Linked DNA regions of Neodiprion lecontei. The protein of the gene in region 1 purifies or fractionates together with the protein of each later gene. This does not show direct contact. Links are inferred from orthologs where the notes say so. Each region holds a gene or a part of one and is shown on either strand. Other genes may lie near its edges. The genes, in order: enhancer of mRNA-decapping protein 4 and mRNA-decapping enzyme 1A.

The links.
Region 2: the proteins of enhancer of mRNA-decapping protein 4 (region 1) and mRNA-decapping enzyme 1A purify together in Drosophila melanogaster (affinity purification with western blotting; 4 studies listed by BioGRID). This does not show direct contact. The link is inferred for Neodiprion lecontei from reciprocal best matches to the Drosophila melanogaster genes Ge-1 and DCP1.

Annotation. Positions count from the first base shown.
Region 1 is NC_060261.1:32,387,160-32,394,914, forward strand, and holds enhancer of mRNA-decapping protein 4, read right to left. Parts: upstream 5,726-7,755; 5' UTR 5,543-5,725; coding exon 5,526-5,542; intron 5,372-5,525; coding exon 5,297-5,371; intron 5,137-5,296; coding exon 4,931-5,136; intron 4,867-4,930; coding exon 4,481-4,866; intron 4,383-4,480; coding exon 4,105-4,382; intron 4,038-4,104; coding exon 2,401-4,037; intron 2,280-2,400; coding exon 2,072-2,279; intron 1,992-2,071; coding exon 1,695-1,991; intron 1,571-1,694; coding exon 1,381-1,570; 3' UTR 568-1,380; downstream 1-567. UniProt on the Drosophila melanogaster protein: In the process of mRNA degradation, seems to play a role in mRNA decapping. Required for silencing a subset of endogenous miRNA targets.
Region 2 is NC_060261.1:8,405,923-8,411,132, reverse strand, and holds mRNA-decapping enzyme 1A, read left to right. Parts: upstream 1-1,662; 5' UTR 1,663-1,837; coding exon 1,838-2,046; intron 2,047-2,282; coding exon 2,283-2,694; intron 2,695-3,305; coding exon 3,306-3,794; intron 3,795-4,067; coding exon 4,068-4,295; 3' UTR 4,296-4,609; downstream 4,610-5,210. Other genes in the region: CTD nuclear envelope phosphatase 1 homolog, read right to left, coding at 260-358.

The DNA.
Region 1 (7,755 bases):
TAGATTTACATTTAATAAGAATAAAGTATTTAGCTCTGACTAAACTGTCATAATTTTTTTTCTGACCTTATACAAGTAATAGTTTTTTGGGCAGTTATCTCGTTAATAGTTAGGAATTAGAGATTAATTTTATGTAAGTAAATTATATGATATTAAATGACAATAACGCGTTTGGAAGGTATTGGATTCATCCTTTTCTTAAATTCTACCATCGACTACAACGCATTGCAGTTAACGTTCCAGGTAATATTATTATTCAATTAACATTATTGCACTGGAATATCTGCACCATATATAGTGATTTAATCATAGTATTGAATAGTGTGAAAGATTCGTATTTTGATGCTTAAATCTACCTAGAATGAGAAATATTCTACAGAAACGCAAATCAAATTAAATAAGCAGTAGAACAATAGCGATATCTGGATGATAAAGAAAAGAAAAATTAGTTCGAACAAAATAATATTTCGCTTTCACGTAAACATAAGATGAGCGATTTTTATTGCTAAAGACAGTGTGAATAACTGATGTGTAGTGTACTATTCATTCATATTTTTTGGAAACAAATAAGAATGAAATAATTGAAAGTGGTGGAAAAAGATTCGGGTTTGTGGTCGCTGTGTTAAAAAATGAATTTATAATTTTAACGATAAAGTCAAAAATTGCACAGTTCAGACAACATATTTTAATTCAATTGAATTTTGAGATAATTGTAAAACCAAGTTGCAGATTGCGTAAAACTATTTAGATTTATTGTGTCGGACATATGAACTGAATATTAGTAATACCAATTCTTTACTGGCCTTTTTTGAGAGTAACTAATGTGTTACTTAGATGATGTTCAAAGATCTGCAATCATCAAAATTGGAACAAGTATTCCAAGTAAATATTTAACGAATACACTGTTACGTGAGTCTTCCATCGATAAAATTTATTCGAGACAATCAGAATGTAATAGAGCAGGTATTGCTTTTATTAAATAGTGAATAAATTTATAGGAATTTTAACAAAAAATGACAAAAAAGAAAAAAAGAACGCTGTGAGCTTTTCATTGGCGTCCACAATATAATATTTTTTTTCTTCTACTCATGACATCCCAGTATGAATACTGTTTAAAAGTTAACTACTGCGGAATTTGACGAACCATACCAGTGTGCACTAACTGCAGTTTCCAGAGTTGATTGTAATTTTTTACGAGTAAAAACTAGTGGAACTACCCTTAGTACGCACTGAAAGCAGTAGATCAAATCCGCCATGTTTGCAGTCTTTGATGTGCTGTTTGCTCCAACTAGATTCGTTACTTTCAAACACGCACAAGGTCACCTCGGTCTTGTATCTTAAGTTACAAACCTAAACTAACTTTTGTTGTTCCAAATCATATCATAGGCTTTGACCTCTTATGGCCTTAGCGGCCATAGCAAGCATTTTCATCTGCTTAGCAGATCTGTGGATTGGATTAGCTGTGATGAAGGCTGTCAATTGACTTTGTAGAGCCATAAGGACGGTTCCCATGTGCTCGTGAGTTACTGGGTCATCTGGATTTAGGTTCATAACAGCTTCTTCTAACCACCTGAAATTGAGGTAGAAAAATTTATGGTTTGATCTTTTACGCATAACAGAATATATAGGTACTGTGATCCAAACACCAGATATCGCAAAACAATATGCATAGAGATAAAGACGAGAGTGCCCACCTATATTTTAATTCAGTTTGTTGTCCTAGATCAGCTGAAAGTTGTTGTATTAAAGACAGCAGAACGGGCTGCTGAAGTAGACAGCGTGGGCCACCTGACCCCAGGCCTGGAGGGGGAGAAAAGACACGGCTTGGTTCGGTACGTTGACAGACGAGAACAACGAGATTCAAGTCACTAGCACTCAATGCCTGCTGAAAAGCAGCATTCAGCTGGCCTCTTTGTAGAAGATTCAGAACTCTTGCTTGAGCATCAGCACCAATTGGGCTAGCTTGAAGACCCGGAGTTGTTGCGCGAGATCTGAAAATAATTTCAGTTTGTCAAGATTATATGGTATACAATTAAATCATTAAGATTCTCAAGAAAATACTAGAGTCTACCTTGCTCCAGATATTTCTGTTAGATGTTGACTCAAATTCTCCCTGATTGTGTCGCGAACTACCCTTGTCGTTCCTTCCTGCATAACCCTGAGTCCCTTAGAAAGTTCGTTTTGTAACTCCTGACGAACGGTTGCCGCCAGGGCTTCACTCTGCTGTTCGTTTCTCCGTTGCCGTTGTTTATCTGCCATCGAATCTATGTTTTGAATGTCTTTAACAAAAGAGAATATAATACATCAAGAATTCACACATTAATGAACAACTTTCCAGGACAGTAATTTTGATTGCAACAGCAATCGTAATATATATAAATTGAAGGATTTTCTACTTACATTCACGGGTCCCCCGAGAAAACGCGTCTTGAACTTGTTTGAACATAGTCTGGCACGCTCTTTCCATTCCTGGTAACAATACCGTTGTGAAAGCTTCCTTAAAAACGGCCTCAAGTACAGGTTTCGCTGCACTTGCTGCAGTAAGGGCGAGAGTGTCACGTATATGAGCACCACTTACTAGCTGCGTGAGATTTTCTTTCATAAGGTCATCCATTCGTGATATATCTAAGCGCAGCTGATGCCTCAAGGGATCAAGTGCACCGTCGACTATTTTTGGTAAATTTTTCTCTATCTTATCCGTCACTGCACTTTCCAAAGAACAAAGTATCTCCTGCTGGCGTGATAGCTGAACAAGCAGTGTTTGTTCCAAGGATGTATTTTGCTGCTGAGTCGCTCTGGCCATCACAGATTCAACACGAGCAGTTACCGGTGTATCTTGTTGCAACCTGGTTACTTCAGATCTCAACTCTCTCAGCTCCTGGCGCTGGTCTTCGACTGTTTTCAGAATAGAATCAAGTTTGGTTGTTAGAGCAATTATACTTCCAGTATCAGGTATACACCAGTTAGTTTCTTCAGGCTGGTCAGATTCAACACTAGCTTCGGGAAGATCATTCTTTGTTAATTTTGTTGGCAGTTCTGCATCCTCGTCCTCCACAAATTCTTCAGGTTCTTCTATGGCTCGAACATCTTTTAGTAGGCCAATCGGAATACCAGGCCAAATCTCTGCCACAGCAGTTTCAGAATCTGGTTTGGCTTCAGGCTCGGTTTCTGGTGCTCCCAGTGAGAATATTTCCCTTACTTCCCTTGAAGGGCTGCTTCCTCCACTCGCCTGCGCTTGCTCTCCAAGTTCACTTGTCGCTAATGGTGGCTCGGTTGAATTTAATGCTTGCACAGCTTGAGCTAGTGAGGGACTAGCTGACAAGACAGCCCCCAGATCAGGGCTTGCAGAATTTGAATCAATATTATTTCCCTCTTTTTTTGCTGGGGAGCTGAAAGCATCAGGCGTCATCAAATTCAGACCTGTACTATGATTGGATGCTGCCTCGATTGCCGCACCAACCGTTAGCTCTTCGTCCCCATTTTCCTCAATGTTTCCGTTTTGGTTCATAGCCGCAATACCGGGAATATCTTCCATGTAGTGTAACGAATCGTGACTCAAAGTGTCCATAAGACAGTGACCGTCGGACTGAGTTACAGGTCTAAAGGCAATGTGGCATTCCTGCAAAGACTTTGGTTGTACGAGATACATCCTAACTACGAGCTGATCCTCCGTTTCGTCTTCGAGAGGGCATAAATCCTCAAGGGATTCCCCAGTAGGTCGAACTCTGCGCTGTCCAGCGTCAACGATTCCAAAACTTAGGATTGGATATGGCAATAAGAATTCGGAAATTGTATTCACACAGGCTAAGGCATCCGAACTATCTTTAGCCAGGCTCAACACATACAGAACTTTGTTGTATATGTCAGAAAGAAGAAGATAGCCTGCACTTAAATCCAAACCTGCTTTCAAGACGGGTGTTTTTCCATTTAATGGTGCAAACTTTATAGTTTGCAAACATGTCCAAGACTCACAGGACCAGACTTTTAACTCTGAATTATTATCGCAGCCAGTTACAGCAAACCTCCAGAATTGCGCTCTATAAGGAGGAAGAATTAGCAAATGAAAACCATGAAATCAAGAAGCAATGAAAAATAATTGCTTACTCTGGCTGATAGCTTTTGTGGTCGTCTAGAAAAAATAGTGATGAAATTGGTCGACCGCCATGGGGTTTCCACTGATGCAGACATCGTGGTTGTTGCTGTGCACCTTGATGAGTACTGCTATTATGCATATATACTTGAAAAAACTTGACTTCTCCATCCAGACTGGCTGTAGCAAGAGCAGTACCATCGGGACTAAATGTGGCCTCAACTATTGTGCCAGAGTGTTGATTGATCTCCATCATACCGCCCCATCCATCATTCTGTGCCACGTCAGAGATCTGCTCACATATGTAAGGAATGAATATAGCGTATTTGTAATCAATACATAGCGCTAAATTAAGAAGAGAAATAACTTGAAAAAAAATTATTCCATTACCTTTATTGGGCCAGATCCAAGCCTGGCTGCAACTGCAGCAACAGACCAAAGTTCAGCTTTAGATCCACGTGTTAAGACTAAGAGCTTGGATACCTCGTCGCCCTCAGCCGGTTCGTCTTCAGGGATATAAGGGCACCATATGACACGGTGACTAGTTGGTGAAGCATCATCTGCATCAACTTGTAGAACGAGGTTGCAAACGAGTTTTAGATGTGTAGATTCTATGGAATATACGAACAAGCTACCAGAGTGATCAACACACGCCAATATCGCGTTACTGATATGAGCAAAAGCAAGATCTTGAATAGCACCACGCATTCCTCTCAACAACGCTCGCTGCTCCCTCTCCTTGTAAACGACACGAACAACTCCTCCGCCTGTTCCAGCTGAAAATTTGCAGTGTATAGTGCAATTGCGCTCAATTCAGCAAATTAAACAGTAAGTACCTACCCTTGATTCCATATGCAAGATATTTGCCTGACATATGAACTGCAAGTAATTGTCCCGTATAAAATCGTAGTTCCCATGTAAAATCGACAATGTTTTTTAGCTTCACTTTGGAACTTCCGTGATCATGCCCTCCGGGCGATGGGACAATCGTCACATCAGTACTGAATAGTTCTACAGAGTGCTGGTCTTCCTGCCCATTGAATTCCCTGAAGAATTGCAATGTAGATTGTAGTTGATAGCGATTAAGGTTTTTGAAGAGCTTGAACTATTTTTCACGTGTAGAAGGAGTTTAAATTAGGATAAGTAAGAGTCGAGCGAAAGTTTAGAGATGGGAAGAGAGAGGTGAGAAAAAAAAGAGCTACTTACACAGTTTGCGGATATTGATACGGCCTGACACTTTCATCAGTCGGCTTAATCATTTTCCCTGTCATCGATGAATCACTGAAAATACCGTAAAGTATCGTTAATGATACAAATATTTTGCAATTTTATACTTCCATTTTATGACCACCGATATTACGGGATTCTAACCCCAACCGGTGACACGCTACGAATATGAATGCCGAGTGTCGTGTTGCTTGATAAGTGTACTCACCCGTTGCACATATGCATATATGAAGGTAAGATGATACTTATTTATGCTATATATGTATATTTACGTATGTTCACGACTCAGTATTAATCAAGTTAACATTCCGCGTAACGCTTTACCAATCTTACTAAAAAACTCAAGATTTTGGTAAACCGGGTAAATGGATCAGAAACGTCAGGGATTCCATACTTGTCATATAGATTACCGATTTTAATGCCATCTCCCGGTTATATTACGAACTTTAAAACGCCGTTCACTAGTTTTCGCTCTCCTTCATTCGCGAAATGCAAATATAACGTCCGAGTCTCCACTCGTTGACCGAAGACTATAAAGACGGATACCCCTGGGTACATTTTTGTGACCACGTTTCGGCGGGTAAGTGGGCCCACGTGGGCCTGTAGCGGGATTCTGTAACTCTCTACCGACAATTATCGCTATCGCTAGCTAGCGACAGTTGTCGCTTGCATCGACAATGATAGCCAAACGACGTAGGGCGTGTTCGGAAATTGACTGAAAGTACTGTCAGTGCTGAAAATGGTATAGTCCAAGTGACGTATACTGTAGATTTTCAGTACTGACAGTACTTTCAGTCAATTTCCGAACACAGCCATAGGGTGATTCTATAACTTAGGCGTAACGATATTCATCGATGCAAAACTAGTCACAGAGGCATCGATAAATGTCGATAGATTTTCGGCAAATTTGACAACGTTGCAGATATTATCACTAAAAATCTGGTAACTTCGGATAGATTATTTGTGAACGCAAACAAAATCGTCTATTGTTCTGTATCTTTGCCGTGATCTTTCCTCGCGTTGTACGAAAAAACTTTTCTCCGATTAATCATAAATGGAAAAAAATGGAACAGTGCAAGTATACTAGCATAGGAGGCTTCTACTCTATCGCCTCTACCTAACGGGCTCGCACCGACATTCGTAGCAACCAAAGTAGTGTCGGTATGAAAGCTTCAGATTGAGTTGCTACAAAGTGAGTACCTACGACTACTTGACTGCGCCTTAGAAATGTCGATGAGTTCGATCATCCCCGTGAGAAGACGCGTAACCGCGTCCACCGCCAACCACCGCAACAACCTCCTCTCACCTCCGACCACCTTCGTCCTCCTCCACCTCGTCGCCGTCCTGCTCCTCCTCGACCGCTTGGTTATTCTCCTCGACCACCGTCGATCACTTCAAACCACCACCAAATACTTCCTACCTCCTCCAATTACCTCCAAACACCTCCTACCATCTCCGTCCACCTTCTACGACTTCCTACGACCCTCTACTACCTCCAACCACCTTCTACCAGCTCCTACCACCTACCATTTCCGAACACCTGTAACCACCTCCGACCACCTTCGCTCTCCCCGTCCTCCTGCTCAATACGGTTTTCAATTGGGGAAAAGTACACAAGACGCAATTCACGAACTAAACAAAGAAATTCACGAAGCAACAGACAACGGAGAAAAATGTATAGCAATATTCCTAGATCTTTCTAAGGCGTTTGACACGATCCCGCACAGCCTGCTAAATACACTAGAGAGAAGAGGTATCCGAGGTAAAGCACAAAGCTGGTTTAACTCATATCTTCGAGGTAGAAAATAAAAGTGACAATACGTAAAACCTACAGCGAACAACTCCAAGTAACGTGCGGCATTCCCCAAGGAACCATCCTATCATCGCTGCTGTTTACACTTTACTACGACGATAAACTAAGGCTACATACACAATCCAAAATAATATCATACGCAGACGACACAGCACTGATATCAAGAGCAAAAACATGGGAGGAAGTATATTTAATGGCAACGCAAGATATCAACAAGATCCACAAACACCTCAATGAACGACTTCTATCTCTCAATACAGAGAAGACAACCTACATGGCATATAGATCCAAGAAATCGGAAAAACAAGATTTAAAGTACAAAAAGATTCAGCTACACAAATGCGCACGAGCGAACTCCAACTGTCAATGTGACTCAATAATCATAGTCAAAGAACAAAAATATCTGGGAGTACTCATGGACGACAAGGTGAAATGGAATGCACACACATCACAGACCGTAAAAAAACTTAGAGAACTATTCCACCCACTGATAAACATGACTCAAATACTGAACTAGAACACGAAGAAAGAAATCTACCATGAACTTGTGTATTCCATAATACAATACGGTATCACTTCATGGGGAAGCGTTTATGAAATACATAAACATCATGTCGCACAGTCT
Region 2 (5,210 bases), about 24 Mb from region 1:
GAGAAAAAAAAAGAAGAAAACAGGGGAAGGAACTTGAAATTAACAGTCTGACAAGGTTGCAATAATGCAAGGAACGTTACATCGTTATGTGATGACATGAGGCTTGTTGAGAAATATATGATTTCAGTCACATTTTTCATCGAAATAAGAGTGCATATGTCGAGAATTGTAGATCGTCGATCGGTTTCGGGAGAATAAGGTTGTATGGGCCGCGCTCGCGCACGATTCGCCTTAGCTTAGGTGCGCTACACCTACTTACGGCTCTAACCTGCTTCTTTAGGAGAAAGCAGACGCAGGTCCATACCCGGGAGGCCATCAGGAGGAACGCTCTCATCCCCATTTGCAATTGCTTCAGCATGTCTTTAGTATGAACAACCTAAACTCAAAATTATACACTCGATACCTAGAAGTCTGTTTCTTTACCCCTTCACACGGTTTCAATCGCGGTGTTACACAAGCCCTCTCGTAAACAAACGATGATATCTTTGTTACGATACATATATGCAATATTTACACACGATCGTACGATACACAATTTTATTAATCACATTTTCGCATCCTTGATTATGTTACTACTAACTATTCGACACTGTTTCAAGATTATTAACTGCTATAATCTTATCACACACACCATGCAGTGGCCGCCATCTTTCGCACATCGACCCAATTTAATCGTGCGCACGAACTATGCGCGTTTTCTGTCAAAACGAATATCACACTTTTCAGTTTACGAATTCGGCACGCTATGCACTTATTTTTTATTGCATGTTCTTCCCTTTCGGATAGATCGTAAAATTATTAGTCATTTAGTTATACATGTTAGGTTTTATGAACGCAGGCATTTTTCTATGAACATGTGATATGTTTGGTATACCCCGCGGGCACTGTCGGGCACAGCGGGCAACAGCCGCCGGATTGTCACAATTTCTGTTTCCACGTTTTCTCGTTCGTGAAATTATACAAGCTAGTGATTCTAGGGTGATTCCGAATCTCGAAGTATCGAGGCGCCCACTCTCGTGGATTTCTGTAGAAGTAGTTTAGACATGCAGCGTATGTAACTACTAACAGTCGAGTTCTGTAGTGCCCAGTGGTAGTGCCGGCAAAAAATGCACACGCTCGCGTTTTTCATGTCCGAGGTCTCCCATTTCGTAGCGCCCTCTGAAACGAAATAAGTTTTAGAATTAAGTGTCGTGGTTGCCGGATAGTAATTGCATATCGTTAAGCGAACAATACTTTGTTGTATTTAGGCATTTAGTAACACCAAATCTGTCGATAATGCAAAGCATATTTATCATAGCGAAGTGTCACTCGACGGTTCGAAACTGAACAAATCACAGACATTAACAAATGATATTATTGCAGTGTGAACAAACAATTGACCAGATTAGTAAGTTCAAAATTAACTGCAAAAGATTATCTACATTCTACTGCTTAATCTCCATCGAATTGCTGAATCTGGGTATCCGCACTGGATCGAAAATTTCCAACCAATCACGTCAACGGCTAATATTTTAATAAAAAACAAGGTTTGTAATTCTAATCTTATTTTTAATTATTTTTCGTATATATTTGCGAACCAATCCGGTACCGCCAATGCCATTGCGTGTTCTTGAAACAACACGCGGCAGTTGCTTAGAGATCGGTGCGATGTTTTACGAACGCCGTACTAAAATTCAGTATGGCATCCAACCGAGAAGCAGCTGCTTGCGTTGTTTCAAAATATTGCGAGATTGCGGGAACGCTGTAGTTCGTGCTTCGTATCTTTGTGCTTTTAAGTACGTCGTTGTGTCTTTTATTGGAGCTTATTAGCCGGTCGATTAGCCGGTCTTTGAGCACGATGGCCGATTTGACAGAGTTGAAAATGAATGTTGCTGCATTGAAACGCGTCGACCCGTACGTTAAGGATATTCTCGAGACTGCGACCCATGTAGCCCTGTACACATTCAATGCCGAGAACAACGAGTGGGAAAAAACCGACGTCGAGGGTGCCTTGTTCGTATATTCACGAAACGGGGAACCCTACAACAGTGTGTTGATCATGAATCGGTAAAAACGCTAACATTAAGCATCGCAATCATTCAGAAATCGTTTCTGACTGACAAAAAAAAATTAGCGGCAAAATATTGAGACCTAAATTTTCTCCTTCGTATTACGAGGACGTGTTTTTTGAACATGTCCCACACATTGTCCCAAAACGCTTCTACTTTTAACGAAAGACATTTGTTTTTTTTCTTCAATTTTCAAAACTTACCACCGTACTATAAAATTTTTCTTTCTTGCAGGCTGAATACCAATAATTTGATGGAACCTGTAACGCAAGGGCTCGACTTACAGCTGCAGGAGCCTTTTCTTTTATACAGAAATTCAAGCTGCAATATATTTGGAATCTGGTTTTACGAAAAGGAAGAATGCGTTCGCATTGCGGCTATGCTTAACAAACTTGTTAAGGATTCTGAGCAGATGCGAAAATCTACTAATAAGGTTAAGACTAAGAAAAATTCAGGGCCAAGTGTGAACAGTGTCGATATATTCAGCATGCTGAGTAAGGCCCAAGAAGACTTCAACACTAACAGGGGAGGGCCAAAATCTCCAGGGAATAACTTATTGTTGGAAAACATGACAGGTCCTTTATCAGCACCTCTCGGACCTGATGTTCCTTCGCAAAGCGTTATGGACTTCTTTGCCAAGGCTAAGGTAAACCTTAGGGCTGTGCGGGTATCATAATTCTTCGGATCAGGTCGGAAAAAAACTATTAGTATTGGGTTGGGTGCCCGAAATTTTCAGCATTCCCAGAAATCTGTAAATTCTCAAAAACTTTAGAATTACCGCTAATCCGGGAATTCCCAAAAACTCTGGGATTCACGAAAATATCAGTTTAGTCAAAATTTTTGGGATTCCCGGATCTCCCGATGAATGTTGAGACACTTTTTACTGAAAATATTGATTTCATATAATTATAATATTTACTATTAGTATTTATTTAATATTTAATCGATACTGTGAGTTTTAAGTAAGTTAGGTTACCCGCGTCTCGGGCTTCTCAAATATTTCTGGCTTTACAAAGATTACGGGTTTCCCAAAAATTTTAGATTTCCCGACACTTCCGGAATCTCTAAAAAACATGACCTGATACAAACCCATCCCGAACCTGAACTTTTTTCCTGAGATTTTGGGAAAATGCACAGCCCTAGTAAACACATTACAATATTGGGGACTAACAACGATTTTAATACTTAGATCAAGTTTACACTGGTGGACAGAAAGTGGGAAATATCACATCATCACGCCTTTTTCTCAACAATTAGGTAAACCCCGGCCAATTCAAGGCGGGTGATCAACCTCCAACAGGCAACCCTGGTCCTACAGGACCTGTAACACCAGAGACTAAGCCATTGTTGGCGCGTCTGATGTCAAATCCAGCCGCACATACTCTTGAACATATTGAAAAACAACAACGATCTACAACGCCCCAGCCAGGACCTCCATCTCATTCTCAATCTCAGTCAGCGTCAACTATTCAGCCAAACAACGTATCAGGAAATATAGTGAACAGATCTAAAAGGCGAAATCGCATAACTACGACCAATCTCGAATCTGGGGGTACAACTGTATCAACAGCTGTACCACGAGAACAGCCACCATTGACAAATGCCAATTCAACTGATACAAATAGTACTTCAGGGTTTCTCAGGATACAGTCTCCGACTAACACCACGTTAAATAATCATCAACAATCATCCATTCCTAATGCAAATTCACTTGCATCCTTATTTGCCCATGCTACTGGACCTACGGTTAGTAAATAGAGCTTCTCAGCCAATTCGAAACATAACACGAAAATTGTGGGATTCTTAAAATCTGAAAAGTTATATATATCCAATTACGTAAAACTTTGTAATTCTATGTCATCGGATATTACTGGCAAAACTTGAATAATATAAAATTCCAAAATTTGTCTACAAACCATATACTTAGCAGTGCTTTGCGTAACAGGAGACGATATTTGTGTGCTGAATTTTGTTGATGCAGAGGTATCAAATGATTACATTGCATGATATTTCTTGCAGGCATCTGTAGAATCGTCGAGCTGTTCAGCAGTCGGTTCTGGCCCAGCATTGATGCCACCTGTTATGTTTGCTGCCCCTAGTCCCCCAGATCCATTGACAAGACCGGTTGAGCCGCTGACAAGGAATCAGTTATTGCAGGCTTTTAATTACCTTCTGAGGAGCGATCCAGACTTTGTCAACAAACTTCATGAGGCTTACGTGAAATCTTTTGGTGAGATACTATCTTAGGTTCATTATTCGGACCACATTTAACCAGAATCGTCATGCAGGATGTGATGGACGGTTATATTATACACCGACTGATCGATAGAACTAAACTAAAACTATTCCTACAACACACATGTGTGTAATAATTGATGGGAATTGGTATGTAATGTTCGAAATTCGTGATTTTGACAAAACTCTCGAGTGAGTTTTAGGTTGAGAGTGAAAAGGTAATGATTAAAAAAAAAAAAAATAAGAAAAAAGTTAAATATGAAGTAAATAATTGCAAGAAAAAACCCTGGACAGTATTTTTGTAAGACAAAATATTTTCTTTGAGATGTTGCACCATGCAAGAAAGTTTTCTTGTCAAGTATTGCAGTTTTGTCTGTGTTTTTGCGTATCTCGCTGCGCAGTATAAAACTACTACAAGGTTGTTGTGACAATTTATGAAAGCCTTGTAAAGCTATATAATGCACGTCCCGCCAAAAGATTTTTATCTGTGATGGCAATTTGATCATATTAAAACTACATAGTGTCTACTATGGTTATACATTAAAAATGCAAAATAAATGAAACAATGTTCAAACAAGATGAATGGGATTCCTATTTTATCGAGTAATGACTCACCCTTTCTGTAATACGAGTGGCAAAAAAGGTGTATGTAACAGGCATTGAAGGAAGAAATGAATAAAATGAAATGAGCAAAAAATGTTCAGTTATTTTATTTGTATTATTTTTTTATACTCTGTATAATCGCCCTGCGCAAGGCGATACATCTCATTATATGTGTATAAAATCGCGTATCATTTGAATTAATATTCGTATTATCATTATCATTATTATTATTTATTATCAAGTTAAAATAATTATACAATATTATCACAATATAATATTTATTCGGAATATAAATAGAGCTATGGAAACCTCAATCGCCTGTTG